2 linked regions of the Schizosaccharomyces pombe genome follow. The protein of the gene in region 1 interacts with the protein of each later gene in a biochemical or structural test. Each region holds a gene or a part of one and is shown on either strand. Other genes may lie near its edges. The genes, in order: sap145 and prp11.

Region 1 (4,356 bases):
GTACTCAGAAAAGAAGATAAAGAATTTGATCGTTTACGTAGAGTACTATGAGCATCGCGATCCCTTGATGATAGCATCTTAAAGAAATCCTGCTCCGATTTCTTCCTATTGCCAACATATGGGAGATCCAAAGCAGCATTATCTAAGGTTTTACTCCTCGTCTGAGCAACTGCGTTTTCTGAGCAATCGGGCAGGCAAAATGGACTTACTGCTCTGTTGGAGTCTCCTAAGTTGACCGATTCAGGCGACGTTACCATTTCACAATTCATTATGATATCTATTTAAGGATTTACACCGCCATTGGCTTTTTGATCATTATGTTGATATTTAAAAGTTCTTCGGTTTTTCGGTTTTCATTCAGCAACAATACGCCGTGTATGTGTCAATAAAGATAAGTGGATAGCACTCAAAATTGCATATGAGCATAGATTCAATCCACCACTTTAAATCAAGTAAGCCTGATATTATTATAGGGACAAAAATTAGTTGTTTTCGGAACTTTTACCTCTTATATCGTAGGAGCTTACATCCGAGACTTTTGTTAACGTTAGTGGCAAGCGCGCTTTGGTTTAATACGCAATTATGAATAAGAACGTGTTCAATCACAGAAAATCGATTATCGGAAACGCTGTGACTATCACTAAGATGAATTGCAAACAATCGAGTTCGAGAAAACCGTTGGGCTTTATTCAATTGATCTGCGTTTTTGTTCACTCATTAAAAGCCATTTCTCTGAGTATTACTATGAATGGTTTTTTTCTGTTTTATTTTACACTAAAGTGATGATAGAAAAATTAATTTATCAATTAGTAACTAAATATTCGATTGCTCATAAGGAACTCACTGTTCATGTTAACGAATGAAGTTTAATATCGTCGGAAATTAATAGCCTCTCAAACATTTATTTCTTATACTGGTTTATTTTGTTCCCGATTAAAAGTAATGTAGATAATTTTCTCGGAACGTTTCTAAGTTATAATGTGTTCAGTCAACATAGTCTAATGGCCTAGTTTAAACTCTCATCCAAATAATTCTGATAGAGCAAGAACTTGGTGCAATTAAACTAGTGCATATCGACAGTCATTTTTATTTTATCAAACCCTAATACTTACCATTTCAGTAACTTAGAAGGTAACCTCAAAGCATCAACACCTTGAGAATCGTTTGAAGCAGTACTTAGTTTATTGAAAAAATTTGGCAAGGTTAACTCCTAAAGGCGACTTCACAACCATTTATAGAGAAGAACGAAAAATTCCAGATTGCAAATAAGGTGTTCATAGTATTTGCAGGCTTGAAACAACATAAAATCGATTTGGTCTTTAATGGAAACAATCAGAACCTTATTTACAACATAGGAATGAAGAATTACAGTAGCTTAATAATATGTTAATGTTTTAAGAAGTTGTTGTGTATTGCTGGAATTCATGGAAATAGTGTTACTATCGCATTTTATTATTGCAATATATTGTTACACGTTAACTCAACTATTTTCTATTAATTACAGTAAGAATAAGGACCCGTTCATCATGACTATTGCTAGTATTTTTTTTTACAAAAAATCTTCAGTAAGGAGGATACTCGTTTTTTGGGTGGTAGTGTTTTGTTAATACGCTCCATGCATGTACTTGTTGACACGTCCAAAGCATTGTTGCTTAGATTTTTTGTTAATGGCTGAAATACAGACAGCTCAAAATCCTTTAAAGGAACTGGAGAAAATTTTAGAGAGGAATAATAAGCAAAAAAATAAAAAGAGCAGAAACCAAGTTCGTCGAGAGAAAAAAAAATTACTACGTGAAAAGACAAATTCTGGTGCTAAATTGGCAGAAAAAAATAGTGATGACAAGGACCAGTTGACTGAAAATAATGACAACCTATACAATGATAAAAAATCTAATGGAAACTTCTATGATACAAACAAAACTGATAGTGTTGACGGGATGGTCTATACTACAATCGTCGATTCTGTAGAATTAGATCCTAATGATCCGCTAATAGAGCAATTTAAAGATGTCTTTAATCGTTTCAAAGCTGATGGTCAAGAAAAAGATTTCGAAGATACCGACAAGGGCCAAATAATGTATTCTGACGATGAAATTTTGAGTGAAGGCGAAGAAGACGCTTTACAAAAACAACAGGAGGAAAAACTTAGTAAAAAGAAATTGAGAAAGTTAAAAAGGATGACTGTTGCTCAACTGAAGATGCTCTCCGAGAAAGCAGATGTCGTCGAATGGTGGGATGTTTCGTCGCTTGATCCTTTATTCCTCACACATCTAAAAGCATATCCTAATACTGTTCCTGTTCCCCGTCATTGGAACCAAAAAAGAGATTACTTGAGTGGCCAAAGAGGTATAGAACGTCAACTCTTCGAGTTACCCTCGTATATTCGTGCTACTGGCATAGTTCAAATGCGTAATGCTGTGCATGAAAATGAAGCTGATATGCCTTTGCGTCAAAAAATGCGTGAGCGTGTCCAACCAAAAATGGGAAAGCTTGACATTGATTATCAAAAGCTTCATGATGCCTTCTTTCGCTACCAAACAAAACCGGTGCTAACCGGTTTTGGCGAATGCTATTTTGAAGGAAAAGAATTAGAAGCTGATGTGAAAGAAAAGAGGCCCGGCGACATTTCGGAGGAGCTCCGTGAAGCCTTGGGAATTGCTCCAGGAGCACCTCCTCCTTGGTTATTTGCTATGCAGAGATACGGGCCTCCTCCAAGTTATCCAGATCTTAAAATTCCCGGTGTGAATTGTCCAATTCCGACTGGAGCGCAGTGGGGATTTCATCCTGGTGGTTGGGGAAAACCTCCTGTGGACCAATTTAATCGTCCTCTTTATGGCGACGTGTTTGGTAATGTCAAACCTCGAATACATGCTGGTACAGGTTCGCCTGTGAGCACTCAGCATTGGGGTGAATTGGAGGAGTTTGAGGAAGAAGAATCTAGTGAAGAGGAAGAGAGCGAAGACGTAGAATATCCTACTGAAGAAATTACTGAACGTGAAACGATTGAGGAATATCAGTCAGCGTCAGAGCCTAGGTCACAGAGGGAAGATTTGCATGCAGAGCCCTTAACGTATTTTAATCAATCTAATGTAGAGGTTGACAATGTTGAATTACGAAAAAATACTCAACCAAGTAGTGATGCTGCTAATCGAGACTTATATCAAGTTTTACCTGAAAAATCTACTAATATCTCAGGTTTCATGGGTCCTCAGCATCAATACGACATTCCTACCGCTGAAGATACTCTTCCACAAAAAAGGAATGCACATTCCATGCTCTCATCAACCAACAAAGGAGATGTTGCGTTAAATCAAAGTTCTAATTGGCAAGATGAGCTTTCGGAGTTGGTGTCTGAGCAGGCTATGAAGGTTGGTGCTGCGAAACGACAGAAAACACAAAGCAAGAGAGACAAGTTTCGTCTTTAAATTATTATCTACAGTGTACATTAGTTAATCTATATGACAGTATTATTGTTAAGCTCCATACATTATTCAAGTATTAATTATTATTTGTAAGTGAAAATAAAAAAAACCCCAATTTATACCCTAGCTAAAATATATTTTATATACTGTTTTTTTGAAGATGGAAGTCTTTGTGACTATATTTTTCCTTGATCTTTGCACGATACTTTGATTTCTTCAATACTGGCAAAGATGGAGGAACCATTGCTCTTTGTTGTAAACTTAAATAGCGATCGGCAAACAAATTTCCTTCAGGCTTCAGCTCTCTAAGGGAACTAGTCAGCTCATCTCCCAACTTTATTTCAAGTGGGTTGTTAGGCAATCGATGTTTACCGAATTTTTTCTTCTTCAGTTTGATTTCAGTTGTGCTAGAAGAAACAGCCTTATTAGAGAATTTCTCAGCTTTATCCTTTTGCTGCAGTTTTTTGGATATTGCAGGAGCTTTGTCGATCGTCCTCAGAAGCTCTTCATTTTTCTTTTGCTCAAGTAATCTAAGCTCCTCCTCTCTTCTTTGGCGTATCTTATTTCTTTGAGACCTGGTTTTTCGTTTGTTCTTCGAAGAAGGGATCGGAGTTTCTGCTTGTTCGTGTTCAGACTGGTCATCAGAATCAATGCTGTGATTAACGTCTTGGTCTGAAACTAATCCCTTGTCTTCAAAAGCTTTCTTCTGTATTCTTTCCTTTTCCTCTAATTCACTAATTCTTTTCTGTTCTTTCTTAAGTTCCTCTGAACCTTTGGTATCAAGTAGCTTCATCCAAGCTGCAGCGTCAGGATTGTATGACATTCCTGGATCAGCGATAACAACATTTGGGACTTTTGCATTATTCTCAGTTAAAGATTCGGGTAGTTTAGATAATGTAGAAGGTCTTTTAACAGGTATAGTAACTGTTGGGTT
Region 2 (5,736 bases), on another chromosome or scaffold:
TTTGATGCGAAAATTTTCCAATTTGGATGGAATAATCAACTCTATTTCTATTTCCGTTCACAAATGTGTTAAATAAAAAACAGTAGCATGAGATAGACTCCTTCTTAGGAATTTAGGCGGATCGTGAAGTTAAGAGACTCTCAAGGATGATGAAAGGAAGAATCTGTACAAAACAAAAATCCTATATAAGACAATGAATTTAAAAATGATTACCAACTGATAAAAGTATCCAAGGAGAACCAAATACAAATATTTAACCTAAAGATGAAAGAGTGAATGGAATACAGCAATCAGTAAAAATGAGCAACCAACTATACATACCAACTAGAGGTTAAACTAGTTTCAATATATTGGGTAAAATAAATTACTTAATATACTCTTTAACCATTGCTCAGTTTCGGGCATAGTTCATGCCTTAGCTTAATTCTCCTTAATTAGATACTCTACATTCAATCTTTCCATGTATTCACGTTGGGGTATCCCATCGCTTGTATTTGGACAACCATATTTTTTAAATTTTCTTTCAAAATGTAAGATTTATTTGCTGTCGGTTTCTAACTTCATTACATGCGTATAACCATTGCTCATCCTAAAAACAATTATCCCAGTATTAAGTATATCAAATTATAAAGCAATACCAGAAAAATAATGCCAGCTATTAATACTATCACTGTTAAATCGAGTAAATGGCGAAAAAATACACTTAAAAAAAATAAAAATAAATATACACATAAATAATTTTCTCTTTCATTTGGCATTACTAAAGAATTTTCGTTTTTTGGTTTTCTGCTAAGTCAATATTATTGGTCGAAGAGCGCAAAAACATAAACATTATAGAAAAAGTATAACATTATGTAAATTTCAATTATGCTTTTTTTTTTTTCTTTTTTGGAATGGAAATAATGGCTTTTCTTAATTTATGTACGCTCTAAATTATCTGACTTATTACATTCTATTGTAGATGACTGTTTAACAGACATTTGAAAGAGTACCTTACTAGTAATCAAGAATTGTGGATTCCAAGCCTTAACCCCAATAGTTATTTACATAAAAAAAGAAATATTGTAAATAAAAAGAGCTAACTCGCCTATTCGCCAATCAATAAAATTTTTTATCGTCTTTTATTTCTCGGTTTTCCGATATTATCTTTAGTACAAAAGCAATAAAAATTCAGCAACAATCAAAATGTAAGCGGTGTTGAAAAAATTACTTATATACCAGTGTTGATTATTTTTCCGAGTTTTACTGGTTAAGTTGAAGGTCCAGTGTAGGGAACCATAATTAAATTTTAAATAACTGAAATAAAAAATGAATATTACTTCTAAGATTTATAAATTGCACAGAATTCAGGTTGCTTTACCGACTTAACTGGCAAATTCATTGCTTTTTAATAAACCCCATATGACTTGTATAAATAATCATAAAGAGGTTAACTATAATAATGTAAATTATATCTAGTAGTGAACTAATATCATATGCATAATATATATTGCTATATAAAGTAATTTATGTCGTTTACTTGCCTCATTAAAACTCTTCGTGTACATATCACAACACCCAGTTTTTGATGTCTAGAAGAACACGATCAAGGTCGCCTCCAAGGCGATCCTACAATAGAGAAAGAAGAGATTACCGAAAATATGATGACTCTGAAGATCAAAAGGGTGCACGGTATAACCGATACGTAGACGATGTATCAAGTCGACGAGATAGGCATGATTCTTTTCGTTCTCACGAGTCTAATAAAATTAGAAGAGATAATTCTTGGAAGCATGATAAGTATAGTTACGAAAAAAGGTATCAAGAGCGAGATCGAGAGTATGCGAGATCAAAGAATATTCCCGATCAGTATATTGGTAGGTCACCGCGACCAACATCTCATAGACATGCTGAGGAAAAAGAAGTAGACAATAAAACTAAATCAGATGAAACAAATCCTGTATTACAAGGTTCCGCAACTGAAATAAAGCCTCAGCCTAGACGTTCTCGATTTGATCGAACTGAGAGAGTTGGTGCTTCTTTAAGTGTTTCAGAAATTCAATCTGAAAATCCACGAGTTGATGTAATTCCCAAGGATAAAGCTGTTGAAAATAATCATCAACGAAATGCTGAAAAGCCAGTAGCGTCAGACAAAATTACGGATGCTAAGCTACTCGCCAGGCTAGAACGAGTTAGAGCGTGGAAAGAGTCAAAGGCAAAACAGGAGGCTTCCAAGAAGGAGGAGCACAAGTTGAATACAAAGCCGCAGGTTACAGCCAAAGACCAGAATGCTATGCCTTCAACTGGTATATCCGGGTTTGAGATTAATCGCCAAAAAGATACTTCGGATATGAAGCGAAATAACCGAGTTCACATGGATGATGAAGATGGTCCTAGGCGTATGAATCTTGAAGACTACCAGGAGCTTTGGGACCAAGAAGACCGGGGTATGCTAGGAAATGAGCAAGCAGCTAGCATGGAGGAAGACGAAGTAGATCCTTTAGATGCTTACATGGCCTCTTTGGTTGGTACCACTGATACCATAAGGCCTGGTTTATTAAATACGGAGGTCATTGATCCGAATGCAAACGATGACGAGCGCATGGTAATTTCAGAGACTTTGGAAGAGGAAGAAAATTTACTTGCTCTTGCTGCAAAACGATCAAAAAAGAAAGACGTAATCACAGTTGATCACTCAAAAATAAATTATGAAGATTTCAAAAAGGATTTCTATGTTGAACCTGAAGAGCTCAAAAATCTGTCACCAGCTGAAGTTGATGAACTACGGGCTTCTTTAGATGGTATTAAAATTCGTGGTATTGATTGCCCGAAGCCAGTTACTAGTTGGAGTCAATGTGGTTTATCTGCCCAAACCATAAGCGTGATCAATTCCTTGGGATACGAAAAACCAACCTCTATTCAAGCACAAGCAATTCCAGCGATTACTTCTGGCAGAGATGTAATTGGCGTAGCTAAAACAGGAAGTGGAAAAACCATTGCTTTTCTTCTTCCTATGTTTCGACACATCAAAGATCAGCGCCCATTAAAAACAGGAGAGGGTCCTATTGCAATAATAATGACTCCTACTCGTGAATTGGCTGTGCAAATTTTTCGCGAATGTAAACCTTTCTTAAAGTTATTGAACATTCGTGCGTGTTGTGCATATGGAGGTGCCCCTATTAAAGACCAAATTGCTGATTTAAAACGCGGTGCAGAAATCGTAGTTTGTACTCCTGGACGTATGATTGATGTTTTAAGTGCGAATGCAGGACGTGTTACTAACTTACACCGCTGCACTTATTTGGTTTTGGATGAGGCCGATCGTATGTTTGATTTAGGATTTGAACCGCAAGTCATGAGAATTATTAACAATATTCGACCTGATCGGCAAACCGTACTATTTTCAGCTACCTTTCCTCGTGCTATGGAAGCCCTTGCAAGGAAAGTTTTAAAGAAACCTGTAGAGATTACGGTTGGCGGACGGTCGGTTGTTGCTTCTGAGGTTGAGCAAATCGTTGAAGTACGGCCTGAGGAAAGCAAGTTTTCTCGGCTATTAGAGCTGTTAGGTGAGTTGTACAACAATCAACTTGATGTACGTACACTTGTTTTTGTGGATAGACAAGAGTCTGCGGATGCACTTTTGTCGGACCTTATGAAACGCGGGTATACAAGTAATTCAATTCATGGCGGTAAGGATCAACACGATCGCGACTCAACCATCAGTGATTATAAAGCAGGAGTATTTGATGTATTAATCGCAACTAGTGTAGTTGCTCGTGGGCTTGACGTTAAATCTTTACAGCTGGTGGTAAATTATGATTGCCCTAATCATATGGAGGATTACGTGCATCGTGTTGGTCGTACAGGCCGTGCTGGCCATACTGGTGTAGCTGTTACCTTTATAACCCCAGAACAGGAAAAGTACGCCGTAGACATTGCCAAGGCTTTAAAGATGAGTAAACAACCAGTTCCAAAAGAACTACAAACTCTTGCTTCCCAATTCCTCGAGAAAGTTAAGGCTGGTAAAGAGAAAGCAGCGGGTGGAGGTTTTGGCGGCAAAGGGTTATCACGACTGGATGAAACTCGAAATGCTGAGCGTAAAATGCAGCGTAAGGCCTATGGTGAGGACGAGGAAGATGTAGAGACTGAAGCTGAAGCAAAAAGCCCGTTGGAAAAGATTACTCCTGAAAAATCTACCGGTGATCCCACGCTCGATAGAGTTCGTGCTGCTGTGGGTGGAATTGCTGCTCGTGCATTTGCCAACCAAACTGCACAATCTAACAAGCTTACTCAGCCAATTTCTATAATAAAAACCGATGGTGATGAGTATAAAGCTAAAATGGAAATTAATGACTATCCTCAACAAGCTCGTTGGGCCGTTACTAATAACACAAATATTGTACATGTAACGGAGTTAACTGGCACAAGTATCACTACTAAGGGTAATTTCTACTTGCCAGGTAAAAACCCTGAACCAGGAGAGGAAAAGTTGTACTTGTGGATTGAAGGTCCATCTGAGCTTGTTGTTAACCGAGCCATCACTGAATTGAGACGGCTTCTTCTTGAAGGAATTAACCACAGTTTGGAAGGAGGTAACAAACCAAGTGCTTCTGGACGATACACAGTTGTCTAGTACTTTCGGTCTATCCTTTTGAAAAAGAGACCTACACTCGTTTAAAATTAATCAATTGAATACGTTACGTGCTTTTTTGGGGAAGGGCAAAAGTGGTTATGAAAAATTAATGATTAGAAATGTCAATATTTATTATTTTAACTAAACATATATGGATTTTGGCATGAAAATTAAGGCATGTATCTTTTTTCATCGCAAAGTAAAAGCGGGAAAGAATGATTTTATTCACATTTTTAAAGCGAGTACTTTTCCAACTGCTTTCCTGAAATAGTGTTAGGGTATTTGCTTTTTGTAATCCACAGTATTTATAGTAAACAATAAACTAATGGTTGAATTTAATCTTTTGTGAAGAGAAGAAATAAAATGTAATTTTTGGCCTTCAATTATCAGTGCTAAACACAAATAGTAGGCAATCAATCCCATAGTTGTTTATTTGAGAAAAAGGTTCTGTCAGTGAATGCTTGATTTCATGATTGATGGGTTTAAAAGAAGTTAAAATTATAAAAATCAGAATTTTTTAGCGTAGAAGTAAAAACCTTCAATTATTTAATTTTTCTCCGACTATTTGCATAAGACCTAAACAAACTAACTGTATGCGAACTATATTGTACTAACACTGCATCAAGTTATATAATTACAATTTCGATGTACATTGTATTAAATGAATGCAAAAATTTATTTTTTTTACTATTTTCTTTTTTATTATAAAGGGCATTAAAGTAAACGTAGATTGTCTACGGCCATACCTAGGCGAAAACACCAGTTCCCGTCCGATCACTGCAGTTAAGCGTCTGAGGGCCTCGTTAGTACTATGGTTGGAGACAACATGGGAATCCGGGGTGCTGTAGGCTCCTTCTTTTCTTTCTTTTTTGCCTTTTTAATCCTGTTTTTACATTTGTTAATTATTTAATAGGTGCGCTGACCTAAACACAACTGCGTCTCATATGCGGCAAAGTGCAATGTCTTATTTTCATGAATTATATACACTACTTATTTTAGCGAGATATTAAACAAAACTTGAGTAGCTCATAGAAAGTTAGCTAAGATTACCTTTTATCTTTTTTTTGAAGTTATTTGTTCTAGCTATAGTTCATTAACTACAGGCAAAAATTTACCTCTTTTCT

What was found.
Region 2: the proteins of sap145 (region 1) and prp11 form a complex in vitro, tested with the Schizosaccharomyces pombe proteins (one study listed by BioGRID).

Annotation. Positions count from the first base shown.
Region 1 is NC_003424.3:4,803,699-4,808,054, reverse strand, and holds sap145 (putative U2 snRNP-associated protein Sap145), read left to right. Parts: upstream 1-1,635; 5' UTR 1,636-1,667; coding exon 1,668-3,425; 3' UTR 3,426-3,542; downstream 3,543-4,356. Other genes in the region: phosphoinositide phospholipase C Plc1, read right to left, coding at 1-269; rRNA processing protein Rrp16, read right to left, coding at 3,562-4,356. UniProt on the Schizosaccharomyces pombe protein: Involved in pre-mRNA splicing. May be involved in endoplasmic reticulum-associated protein degradation (ERAD) and required for growth at low and high temperatures.
Region 2 is NC_003421.2:517,973-523,708, forward strand, and holds prp11 (ATP-dependent RNA helicase Prp11), read left to right. Parts: upstream 1-1,539; 5' UTR 1,540-1,567; coding exon 1,568-4,612; 3' UTR 4,613-4,925; downstream 4,926-5,736. UniProt on the Schizosaccharomyces pombe protein: ATP-dependent RNA helicase involved in pre-spliceosome/complex A assembly and mRNA splicing. Bridges U1 and U2 snRNPs during pre-spliceosome assembly and enables stable U2 snRNP association with intron RNA.